Caenorhabditis elegans: one gene and its partner. The protein of the gene in region 2 interacts with the protein of the main gene of each other region in a pairwise test. Each region holds a gene or a part of one and is shown on either strand. Other genes may lie near its edges.

Region 1 (5,418 bases), on a different chromosome or scaffold from region 2:
TCTTCCGGTGGTGTATGAATAATAATAACTCGATCTGGAAACGAAGAAGGTAGGTAGGCAGGCAGGCAGGCCGAACTCACAATTCTACACTTCCACACTTTTCTAGTCGTTCGGCATTTTCAGCGTCCGTCAGCTTCAAGAAGTCCACAGTAGCTGCTCCACGAGCCAACAGAAGCAAGAGTAGAAAATTGATTAATTTTCCCATCAAAACCATTTGAGAGGAGAAATTGTAGAAATGATTGAAATTGTTAGGGATTCTTGGAATATAAATAGCTAGCGGGAAAGAATAAACGGGGATTTTTGAGACGTGTAAGGTTTACGCGAATATTTCAGGTTCTACATGCCAACCAGGGCTGGGACTTTTTTGGGGCCACAATCGGAAATGTCCGGCAATTGGCAATTTTGACAATTGCCGGTTTTGGAAGTTTCCGGCAATAGGCGATTTCGGCAATTGCCGAAATTGATTGCTGGACATTTCCCGCAATTTTCAAACCTTATTATATTTTGGAAATTGAACAAAGTTAACCTTATTTTTTAGTATTCGGTTAGCCATTATTCAAAAAAAAACGGTCAAAAGGATTAAATAATTTGGAGCTTGAAAATAGATAATTATTCATTAAAATGCATGTTTAGCCTCCTAAATCTATAAAAAGCTTCAAATTTATATTTCCGGCATATTAATCGGCAATTCCGGCGATTGCCGGTTTTCAAAATTTTCGGCAATGCCGAAAATTTGCTTGCCGAACGGCAATTGCGGCGCACCCCTGTTGCATATATTCCTGAGTGCCTATGGACCTACCTACATGCCTACCTTTTATTGTCGCCCCTAAATTACACCCCGACCCTCATAACAAACCTAAATGGCGTCATTAATAAAACTTAGCAGCCGACAAAATGTAGGCCAAAAAACATTTTTTTTCTGTTCTTTTCTCTGCGTTTTTTCAACGTGACCTCGAAGAGATAATACTCGGCCACCAATTTTTAAAGGATCTTTTTTGTGATCCTCAACTTGAAGCAACAGTGAGAGTGCACAAACCTCGGCCATGTCACTGGTTTTTATAGGTACCCACAATTCTACAGAATCATGGCCATAGCCGCGGATAGGGAAAACTAGGCTTACAGAACCAAAGTCATCAGCAATAACGTGGCCTAGAATGGAAGAAAACTCGGCCACCAACTTTTTTCCCTTCTAAACGAAAATTAGTTAATGACGGACAAACTGCATGAACCTCAACCAAGGTCACCCACAGATCCATGACCATGGCCGTGGATAGGAAAAATTTGTCCACTCTTACAAAACTGAAGTGGGGCGGTGGCCGAGGATTGAAAAAAAAACTCGGCCACCAACTTTTTCCCTTCATCGCCGCAAAAAAAGCAGTACCGTTCTTTTCTACCTCCCCAGAGTGCTCATTTTTCTCTGACCAAAGTCAAAATTAAAACTCTCACGAATTGATAAGAAGCTTTTCAACCACCCGCCTCCCTCCAGTCGTGTGATTGATAACTGTGTTTGATAACTATAACAGTGATTTGTACTCTCCTCACCCATTTGTACTCACTATGTTTCGTTCCTTCTAAAACCAAAAACTTTCAGCAATGCCGATTCATGTGGACAAACCGGACACAATGCAAAATGAGCTCATCGATATCGTGGCAGATGGGCTCCGATCGAATCAGATTTACACGTTTCGAATGATGTAAGACTTCAGTACATTATTTAAGTTCAAAAATTTTTGATACTGATGATTGATGTGTTGTGTAGTTTAGTAATTGCTATTTAGGCACAAGGCCAAAAAATGACCGAGGTGGCCGAGTTTTTCTTTTTTCAGCCACCTAGAAAATGCTGGGCGGTATCGAGGCTTAAAAATTTTAAACCTAGACTTTTCCAGCTTGAAACATGACTATGGAACTCACAAATCGGAAGCAACATTTCAAGCGGACCCCGCTGGAAGAATCGACTTGAAGTATGCGAAGCCCCTTAGAGGATCTTATTACGGTAGGTACACAATACCTAGAGTCACTCTAAATCAGATATTTAGATGCTGATCCGATGGGGTTGTTCCTTGGAATGAAGCCATGTGAGGATTTTGCATATGGTGGATATCTTCGGTGTACTCCGCCAGTTCCGTTTTATTATCTGTTGGAGTAAGTTTTATACTTTTTCTAAACTTTTGCTAGTTGCACTTCCTTTAAAAATTTCCGCCACAAGACTATGTACACAAACCCCTGCAAACATACAAAATTTCAGACTCTTTGATTCATCCGGAACCCTTATCGACTCTACCTACATCAAAAAGCACTGGATGCACCCAAAATTGATACGAACCGAGTTAGAGGAAGATTTCTGTGCGACACTCTTCAAACCTCCCGGTGATGGTCCCTTCCCAGTGGTCCTTGATATTTCAGGAACTGGTGGAGGAATCCATGAGCATAAGGGTGCTATGTTAGCTTCAGAGGGATTCGTTGTATTATGTCTTGCCTTTTTCCAGTTCAAGTATTTACCGCAAAAAATGGAAGATGTAGATATGGAGTATTTTGCAGTGAGTTGTAAAATTTGAGCACTAAAATTAGAAAGCTAATTCCAGAAAGCAATCAACTACTTAATTGATCTACCATTCACAAAAAATGTGATAGGTATACAGGGAGTCTCGTTTGGCGCAACTATTGTGGACTTGCTCACCACAAGACATGGCGATAAGGTAGGCAGAATTTATTGTTCTAGGTGAATGGCGCTAAATGATAGTTGACGAACTTCAGCTCAAATTAGTGGTGGACGGCAATTGCTGTTCGGCAAATTGGCAATTTTCCGGTTTGCCGATTTGCCGGAAATTTTCAATTCCGGCAATTTACCGGTTTGCCGATTTGCCGTTTGTTGGATATCAATTTGCCGAAAGTTTCGGCAATTGCCGTTTTTCCGGCAAATTTGGCAAATTGGTAATTCGCCGATTTGCCAATTTGCGTAAACTGCTAATTCCGGCAATTTGCTGATTTGCTGGAAATTTTCAAATCCGGCAATTTGCCGACTTTCCGGAAATTTCCAATTCCGGCACTTTGCCGATTTGCCTGAAAATTTCAATTCCATCAAATTGCCAATTTGCTGGAAATTTCAGTTTCGGCAAATTGCCGATTTGCCGGAAAAAAATCGTTTGCCGCCCACCCCTGTCTCAAATTCTGTCTGCCGCACATACTTTCGAAAAAGTGTTTAAAATTTAATAGAAAGCACGTGCAGGGGTAGCGTGTATGTGTAAATAGTCTGCAACTAGACTGCCATAGAAATTTTTGGAGCAAGTGCAATAATTTGTGCTCCAAAACAGTCCTATGAGGAAGTGAAGCGGAAGTGACACGGAGCACCGATTTTTTGCCAAAAGTAAAATTTTGGGAGGGTCGGGCGGAGGAGAGCGTTTTTTGAACAAGCAAAAGTTTTGCAACAATTTTTTTTGATAGTTCCTATGATTTCTGTCTTGTTACAATACCATGACACAGTTTTTTTTTAGAATTAGTAAAATCTGGAACTTGAAATGAAAACGAAAAATTCGCTTCAAAAAACCAGGAAAAAATTTAAAAAATTTTTTTTTGGAAATTTCAGAATTTCAATTTTTATCTACAAAATTGTACGCATTTTGTGAATGTTCTTACATCTATTTTGAAAAGTAAGCAATTTCTATGAAAATATCTAAAGAAAACAGATAAAAATTTCAAAAAGGCACAGTTATAAGTATTCCGTCTTATTAAAAATCCCTCTAAAAAATGACGAGAATGAAAATTTCCGGCAAATCGGCAAACCGGCAATCAGCCGATTTGCCGAATTTGTCGACAAAAAAATTAACCGAACTGCAACTGCCGCGCACCCTTGATCTAGACTGTTTTTTTTTTCATACTTTGCCAATCCTCCTTAAACAATAACCATAAACTATTTCCAGATCAAGGCCCTGGTCTCCATCAATGGCCCCCAAGTCGTATCTGACTACCTCTTCATGCAAGAAAACGGTGCCCCAATTCCTCATCTCTCCCATGGCCAAGTCACTTTGGAGCACTGTCAATTCATTAATGGAGTCATGTGTTCCCATAGAAACTTCCAGATTATGACAGAAAAATTGACACCAGAAACTGAAATTCCATGGGAACGAATCCCCAGTGATGTCAAAATTCGTGTAATTGTAAGTGTTCGAGCTGACGTTCAGCGGAAATTTTGTGAGCTTCAGGGATCCGTGGATGATTTGTGTCAACCATCGGTGCATGCAACGTATTACAGACAGAGAAGACTCAAGGAGACCGGGCATGATGTGGAGGTACTTTTTTTTTTAATTTGGAGCAATTTTTGAGCTCTGGCACCATTCAGGTGAAGCTGAGTGGCAATATGATTAATTGATAAGAGAATTATCAGAAAAAATAATAGTTAAGCATTAAAGAACTCCAGACAGTCAAAGTTCCATCAGACGTTTTTTTTTTCAACCGAAATTCCGAAAATAATCCGATTAACTCAGAGGTTTTTTATTCTAATAATATTATTAATTTTATCTTAAAATCGAGTCTGATAACTGAAAAAAATTTCAGGTTGAACTAGTGAATGGAGGACACATTATGGAGCCACCATACTTCCCACATCACGAACTCGTCTACGCAAAATACCAGGGATTCTATTGTGGATATGGTGGAGAAGTGGTTCTACACGCAAAATCACAGGAGAAGACATGGTCCAATACTATCAAATTCTTCCAAAAAGCTCTTGGAAATACAAAGAAAATTCAGGATTGGGATCGACTGACGGTTGTGGTGCCGCCGAGAAAAAAGAGCAAATTGTGATAATTTGAAACTTCTTTGAACATTGTCTGAACATTATGAACTTGAACATTTTGTGAACCTTTCCACTAAAACTCTTTATGCAGCAAAAGATCTCTTCACTTGCTTCGTCAGAAATAGTTTCAGGAATTTTCGACGTTGTGAGAAGCGCTCTTTCAGTGGGGTGATATATCACAAGCTTCACGCGAGAAATTTCATTCATTTTTATTTACGTGGAATCATTTGTAAAGCACCGTAGATTAACTTTTGGGGATAATAGTTGATGAAATTGAAGAAATGAGGATGATACCAAGGGATCAAACTCATTAAAAAATAACTGTGAATAATAAATCGATAATCAGTTCAAAATTTTTATCCTCAAAAATCAACTATTAAGCTTGCTTCTATTGCTCACTTCAATTGAAATGTCTACTACACCAATACCGATGGATTCCGCGGACGTACTCAGTGCCAAGGATTGCAAAAAGGTATGTAGCGGGGCTGTGCGCCAACCAGTGGTTGCCAAAGAAAACTAAAGGGCGATCATTAATTATAGCGGTCAATTAAAGTTATCTTAAAAAGCGTTAGAAAATTAGTTTTAAAAATTGAATCATTTTCTGTATTTTAACAGCCATAAAATTT
Region 2 (5,982 bases):
CGGATGTTCTCAATCAAACTCTTCCAACTGCGGCTGAGGTTTCGGATGTTGCCAGGTGCATACTCTGCCTGTTGTTTGTTTTCTATCCTACTTTTTTCAGAGAGGATGCTTCGACTTCACAGCCATCCAAAAGCCGATCCATGTACATTCGTCCCGCTGCCAGTCTTGATAATACCTTGGAGACACTTGATGAGAATTTGGATTCTTCACAAAGTCATGCCGGGCCAGTTCCAGCAGCTTCAACTAAGCCCAAAACACCATCCTTTGAGAAGATGATTAGATACAGTGGCATCAAAAAGCGAAGCACAATGGACATGGATAATTTTGTTCGTATGCTTGATGAAAAGATCAACTTTTCGCCTGAGCCAAGCACTTCAAGGTATGTTAACCATAATAAACGAATTCCGATGTACTATTATTTCTTTTCAGTGATATTGCCAGCTCTGTGAAAGGCTACATGTCTCAATCCTTCCTCCACCAACAAGATGACGAAGCTCCTGATTGCACCAAGAATGTTCATTCTGAAAGTGATTTGAAACAAGCTGAGCCACAAGAATCGGACAAGCAAAGGTGAGACTTGTGAACTTATATAAATAACAAGCAATTTTTTTTTCAGTGACAAGGAATTGCCAAGCAATGAATGAGACGTTGGACAATTGGTTCGCCTACAAGAACACACTTACTGTGCTGCCATTTTGTACCATAACAATTCTATTTTTACCATACTAACCAATTTCACAATTACAAATTATATTTTCCTGTGATTTTCATCAACCATCAACCCATCTTGTGCTGTATTTGTATCTCATAGTAGAAACCTCCCAGCAACTAATTTTGACTTTTGGCTCGCCTGCCAACATCAATCTTATTACCCAATTTTGTACCATAACACTCTCTATTTCTACCACACTAACCAATTTCACGATTAGAAATTCTTTTTCCTGTGATTTTCTTCAACCATCTTGTATTGTACTTGTATCTCATAGTGCTCAGTTTCAGTCTTACCGGTTTTCCAGTCACTGTCCAGTACAATTTCACCGACTATTGTTGTTTATTTCGATAAAAATATTTTGTTCTAAATGTTTGAAATTTGTTGTAAAAACTGGAAATTACTAATCCAAACATATATCTTTCAAAAACAAATACCCATTGAATTATTTTGGTTTATTTTAAAAGTCATACCGTTTTTCACATGATGAAGATATTGAGAAAACGAGTTCAGGTTTAATGGTAGGACAAACTTGTAAAGTTCAATTATGATGTGGCTTGATTCGGTGCATTTTTATATTTTTCAAGTGATCAACCTAAGACCTCATTTGATCAACGAATGCTCGTATTTAACTAGGTTAAGTAGATAAAAACGTGTGGATCACTTTTTTAGTTAAAAGTTTCTTGCTGAAACGTATAGCTTTTGGAGCATACTTATTGGAAAAGTCTAAATAGTCGCCGAAAAATTGAAAGCGAGTATTGGCCAGCACTGTTTTAAATAGTTCAACAGCAGAAAATTGCACACCAATAAGACTTCAGAGAATTTTATTTTGAGAAACTCTGAACTATGCAATTTTTTCTTGAAATCCCTACAACTCTAATTTCTGCATACTTTAAACTCTCAAACGCCAGAATTTCATAAGGTTTCTGAGAAATTTCAAACGATCACATTCGCCCTTTCACAGCTAACTTAGGTTTTCAAATTCAAAGAAAAAAATCATGCATAAATAAGAACCGTTCCATTTTTATCTGTTCCAGTTTACAATGGTAAAATCAATAATTCGCGTGTGCACTGTTTTCATCATATCCATCGTCACAGTTCCGTCACGCACTTGCTGCGTCTCTTCCCTCTCACTTTTCCTTCCGAGGCACTCCATTCAGTCTTCGTTCCATTACACGTGGACAGTGGTCCGCTCTCTGTTTCATCTGCAGTTGTTGCGAAATCTCTTTTTTTTCTTTTTTCTTAACATTTTTCTACAATTTTTCAATTTTTAGGTTTCCATTTGTTGCGCGGCAATGGAAAATTGTGATGATCTTTCATCGGATGAGAATCTCCCACCACCCGGAGATCACCGTCGCGAACAGTCCCAAGAAAGAGCGAGAGTCGGGAATCGTGATGAATCAGTTTCTTCGACCAACATGCGTAGTATTGGAGGTAAAAAAAAATAAATTTAGATTCACTATATTTATTAAACCGGTTTGTTACAGGTGCAGTTCACAACCAGCAGCAACTTTATTGGACAGACATGTACAATGGCTCAAATAATTTGGAGAATTTTTGGCTGTGCTTCTCTGGAAACACGTCTCTTGCCGATGATCCAACCGTTCAATCCGATTCATCCGCGTCCACACAAAGTAGAACTAACCAAAGTGGTACAATTGCACAGGAAACGGACAACAGGAATGCAAGCAATTTTCCGCCACGATCAACAACTCGGCGTGGACAGACATATGAATCGAGAGACGAGTCTCAAGGAGGACAGGCGCCCTCACATCAGAACCAGGTTCCAGGTGAGCCTCAAATCTAAACTTTGATTAGAAAATTATCTACGTTCACAGTGCATTACTTCAACAGTCGGGAGAATCATATATTCATGTTGTATGAAATTTTCTCTCTTTATTTCTTACTGAAGTACCGGGTAATAATTGAATGAAAATAAGTTATCAAAACATAACAAATTGATAAGGTTCCAATTTCTATTTATTTTTTATATGAAACATTTATCGGAAACATAAGTACAACTTCATTTATTCTTTGGCACTTCATATATTAATAAGCTAAATTGTTTCAGGTGTTGATCGCGATGAGTATGCAGGTGACCGGAGTAACGTTTCCATCAATCTACCATCCGTAGATCAGTGGCGCGAATACAGTTTTTCTGATAATTCGTTTCAAGGCGAAAGCCGGACTGTCCAACGGAGATCATCCCGGGCCACACATCGCGTCAAAAATCAATTTGGCAGCATTGGAGATGGGAGAACGAGCAATAATACGAGCCTCCAAGAGCCAGTGATTCAGGATACAAGAAATCGAAATCGCTCTGAATCTTCTTCCACCATGTCATCGCAATCACGAACAGAACATGCTCCAATTTTCCGGTTGCAATATAATTACCAAAGAGAGGCAGACAATAGATCTTCACGATTGGTTCAAATACAAGGACATTCGGCTCCAAATAATGCAAACGGTCTACAAAATACGGGCGGTCAAGCTCCAGACATTGGTCCTGAGGTCAATGGTCAGAGTTCCGATACTCGAGCAATGAACATGGGTAATCAGATGGCTCAAGGCGATTCCCACGTTCCAATGAATTTCGTACCAAGACCTTTGTCTAACGGTGTTCCCAGGCTTCACGGAGTTCCCAGGCTTGTAGACATGTACGATTATGAACTTGCTCAGAGGGCTCATGCACGAAGATATCCGACTTCAAATATGCCATACGGTTTTCCAAATGCCGGCTTTCAAGCTCCTCCACACATGGGTTTGTGGCCAAATAATCAAAATGCAGATACTCGAGCAATGAACATGGATAACCGTTCGAGAGATCGTACCTTCCAGATGCCTCCTGCAAACGCTCAAGTTCCAACGAGTTCTCTGTCAGGTCTATTCAATTCATCTATAAATCACGGCTCCGGGAATCAACAGTTCCAAATGGGACAGAGCTCATCAGGTTCTGCACCTCAATTGCCTGCTCTTCCGGAAAATTTCCTGATGGCTCATGCAAACTCTCAAATTCCAACGAGTTCTCTGTCAGGTCTTTTCAATGCAATGAATCACGGCTCCGGGAATCGAATGAACCACAGCTCATCAGGCCCTGCACCTCAGTTGCCCAATCTGCCGGAAAGCTTCCTGATGGCTCATGGAATTGGTCAAGTTGAAACAAGGTCCCCAGCAGGTCCCTCCAATTCCTCCATAAATCACGGCTCCGGGAATCAACAGTTCCCAGTTCAACAAAGCTCATCACGCCCTGCACCTCAGTTGCCCAATCTGCCGGAAAGCTTCTTGATGGCTCATGGACTCTCTCAAATTCAAACAAGTTCCACAGCAGGTCCCTCCAACTCATCTATGAATCACGGCTCCGGGAATCAACAGTTCCGAATGGGACAGAGCTCATCACGCCCTGCACCTCAGTTGCCCAGTCTGCAGGAAAGCTTCTTGATGGCTCATGGAATTGCTCAAGTTGAAACAAGTTCCACAGCAGGTCCCTCCAACTCATCTATGAATCACGGCTCCGGGAATCAACAGTTCCCAGTTCAACAAAGCTCATCACGTCCTGCACCTCATTTGCCTGATCTGATAAGGCAAGAGGAAGAATTTTTGAACACTCTGGAGTTTGAGCAATTTGCAAGGCGATTGTACAACGACCTACTTCCTGGAGTTGATCCAAATTATGATTCAGGCACATCAACCAGTAGGTGGAAAAATGTGTATTCTTTGATTTCAAATAATTTTAGGTGAGACTCCAGTGCTAAAGTTCTCAATAACACTAAAGGCGATGCTTTACGACTACTGGCGGACGATGGTGCAAATGCAGTATCGCGGAGCGAACATCAACTTCCTCCAATCCATTATTAACTTGAATGCCAGGTCTGCTGCTCTCAACAGCTCAAACGCCAGAGCCTCAGGCTCGGCGGATGTGCAGAATCAAACAGTGTCAGCGACGGTCGAAGGAGCAGATGATGCCAGGTACACACAGGAATCCAGTCCGATGCCTCGGCATTTTTTGGCACTCGCTGCATTAAAAAAAAGTTTGGTTATAATACACGCGTACCAATTAATTCTTTATCTGAGCCGAGCACATCAAAGTATTCCAATAAAAAAAGTACCAATTATAATTTTCAGTGCCAATGTCAACGCATTGAGCGACTTGCTGGCCCAATCTTTCCCACGCCAAGCAGAAGGAGAAGCTTCTCGTCGCAACGATATAGATCATCCCGAAGATGATCTGAACCAGGCTGATTCACCGAAATCAGACAATCAGAGGTAAGCGGGAAAAATAGTTAAATATCACATCTTTATAATTTCAGTGACAAGGATCCTCCCAGCAACTAATTTTGACTATTGGCTCAACTACAAACATCAATCTTACGACCCAATTTTGTACCATATCATTTCTTTCCAATTTTACCATTTCTAGTTGTTTTTCTGTGATTTTTTTCAACAAGCAGCCCAACTTGTATCGTACTTGTATCTCATAACAGGAACTTCTCAGCAGTTAATTTTGATCAATGGCTCGCCTACCAATAACAGCCTTATTACCCACTTTTTTACCATACCATTTCTTCTTACCATACTAACCAATTTTACGACTTCTAGTTTTTTCCTGTGATTTTTTTTTCAACAAGCAGCCCATCTTGTATTGTACTTGTATCTCATAGTGCTCAGTCTCAATTTTTTTCGGGTTCCTAGCCACTGTCAAGTATAACCTCACCGGTCGTTTTTATTGTTGTTTATTTTAATGCATACAATTATTTTTATTTATTTATTTATATTTATTCATCAGGCAACAATCACAATGACACAATTACGACAAAGCAGTGAAGTGAAGGAAAAAGGAATGAATAACTAGATATAAAATAATCATTTGGACCCGCAAGAGTCCGGTGACTAAGTATGAGGGGGGGAAGAGGGTAAAACATTGTCAACAAAAAGTTGACCGAGACGTTTTCCGAACAAAATTTCTGAGACAGGCTTGGGGAAATAAGGTACTATTTTATTCCAGTAATTAAAATTTTTATGCAGGAAACTGTCATTTTTAACGCCGCATAGCTTAATTCTGTAAGGGAACCGGGTTTTGCTATTTTGCTCAGAATCTTTGTAACGAGAATAAAGAAACTTTGAAGCCCAAAGGATTATCTTTTCGAATGAATTAAATGTGAGTTTTGAAAGTTTACATGTTGGTAATTGGCAAAAGATAGATCTTCGATAGTAACTTATAACATGATTTTGAGAAAACTGTTTCATGTTTGAAAGTGTAAAAACAACAGCTTATG

What was found.
Region 1: the proteins of meg-2 (region 2) and W03D8.8 interact in a two-hybrid assay, tested with the Caenorhabditis elegans proteins (one large-scale study listed by BioGRID).

What each region holds. Positions count from the first base shown.
Region 1 is NC_003279.8:2,790,096-2,795,513, forward strand, and holds W03D8.8 (BAAT/acyl-CoA thioester hydrolase protein), read left to right. Parts: upstream 1-1,591; 5' UTR 1,592-1,593; coding exon 1,594-1,694; intron 1,695-1,886; coding exon 1,887-1,993; intron 1,994-2,036; coding exon 2,037-2,142; intron 2,143-2,245; coding exon 2,246-2,537; intron 2,538-2,582; coding exon 2,583-2,696; intron 2,697-3,917; coding exon 3,918-4,154; intron 4,155-4,199; coding exon 4,200-4,286; intron 4,287-4,551; coding exon 4,552-4,800; 3' UTR 4,801-4,881; downstream 4,882-5,418. Other genes in the region: W03D8.1 (uncharacterized protein), read right to left, coding at 1-34, 81-214.
Region 2 is NC_003284.9:13,922,131-13,928,112, reverse strand, and holds meg-2 (Protein meg-2), read left to right. Parts: upstream 1-1,983; 5' UTR 1,984-2,004; coding exon 2,005-2,143; intron 2,144-2,196; coding exon 2,197-2,499; intron 2,500-2,780; coding exon 2,781-4,400; intron 4,401-4,443; coding exon 4,444-4,675; intron 4,676-4,831; coding exon 4,832-4,972; intron 4,973-5,016; coding exon 5,017-5,041; 3' UTR 5,042-5,470; downstream 5,471-5,982. Other genes in the region: Protein meg-1, read left to right, coding at 1-55, 101-379, 430-570, 617-644.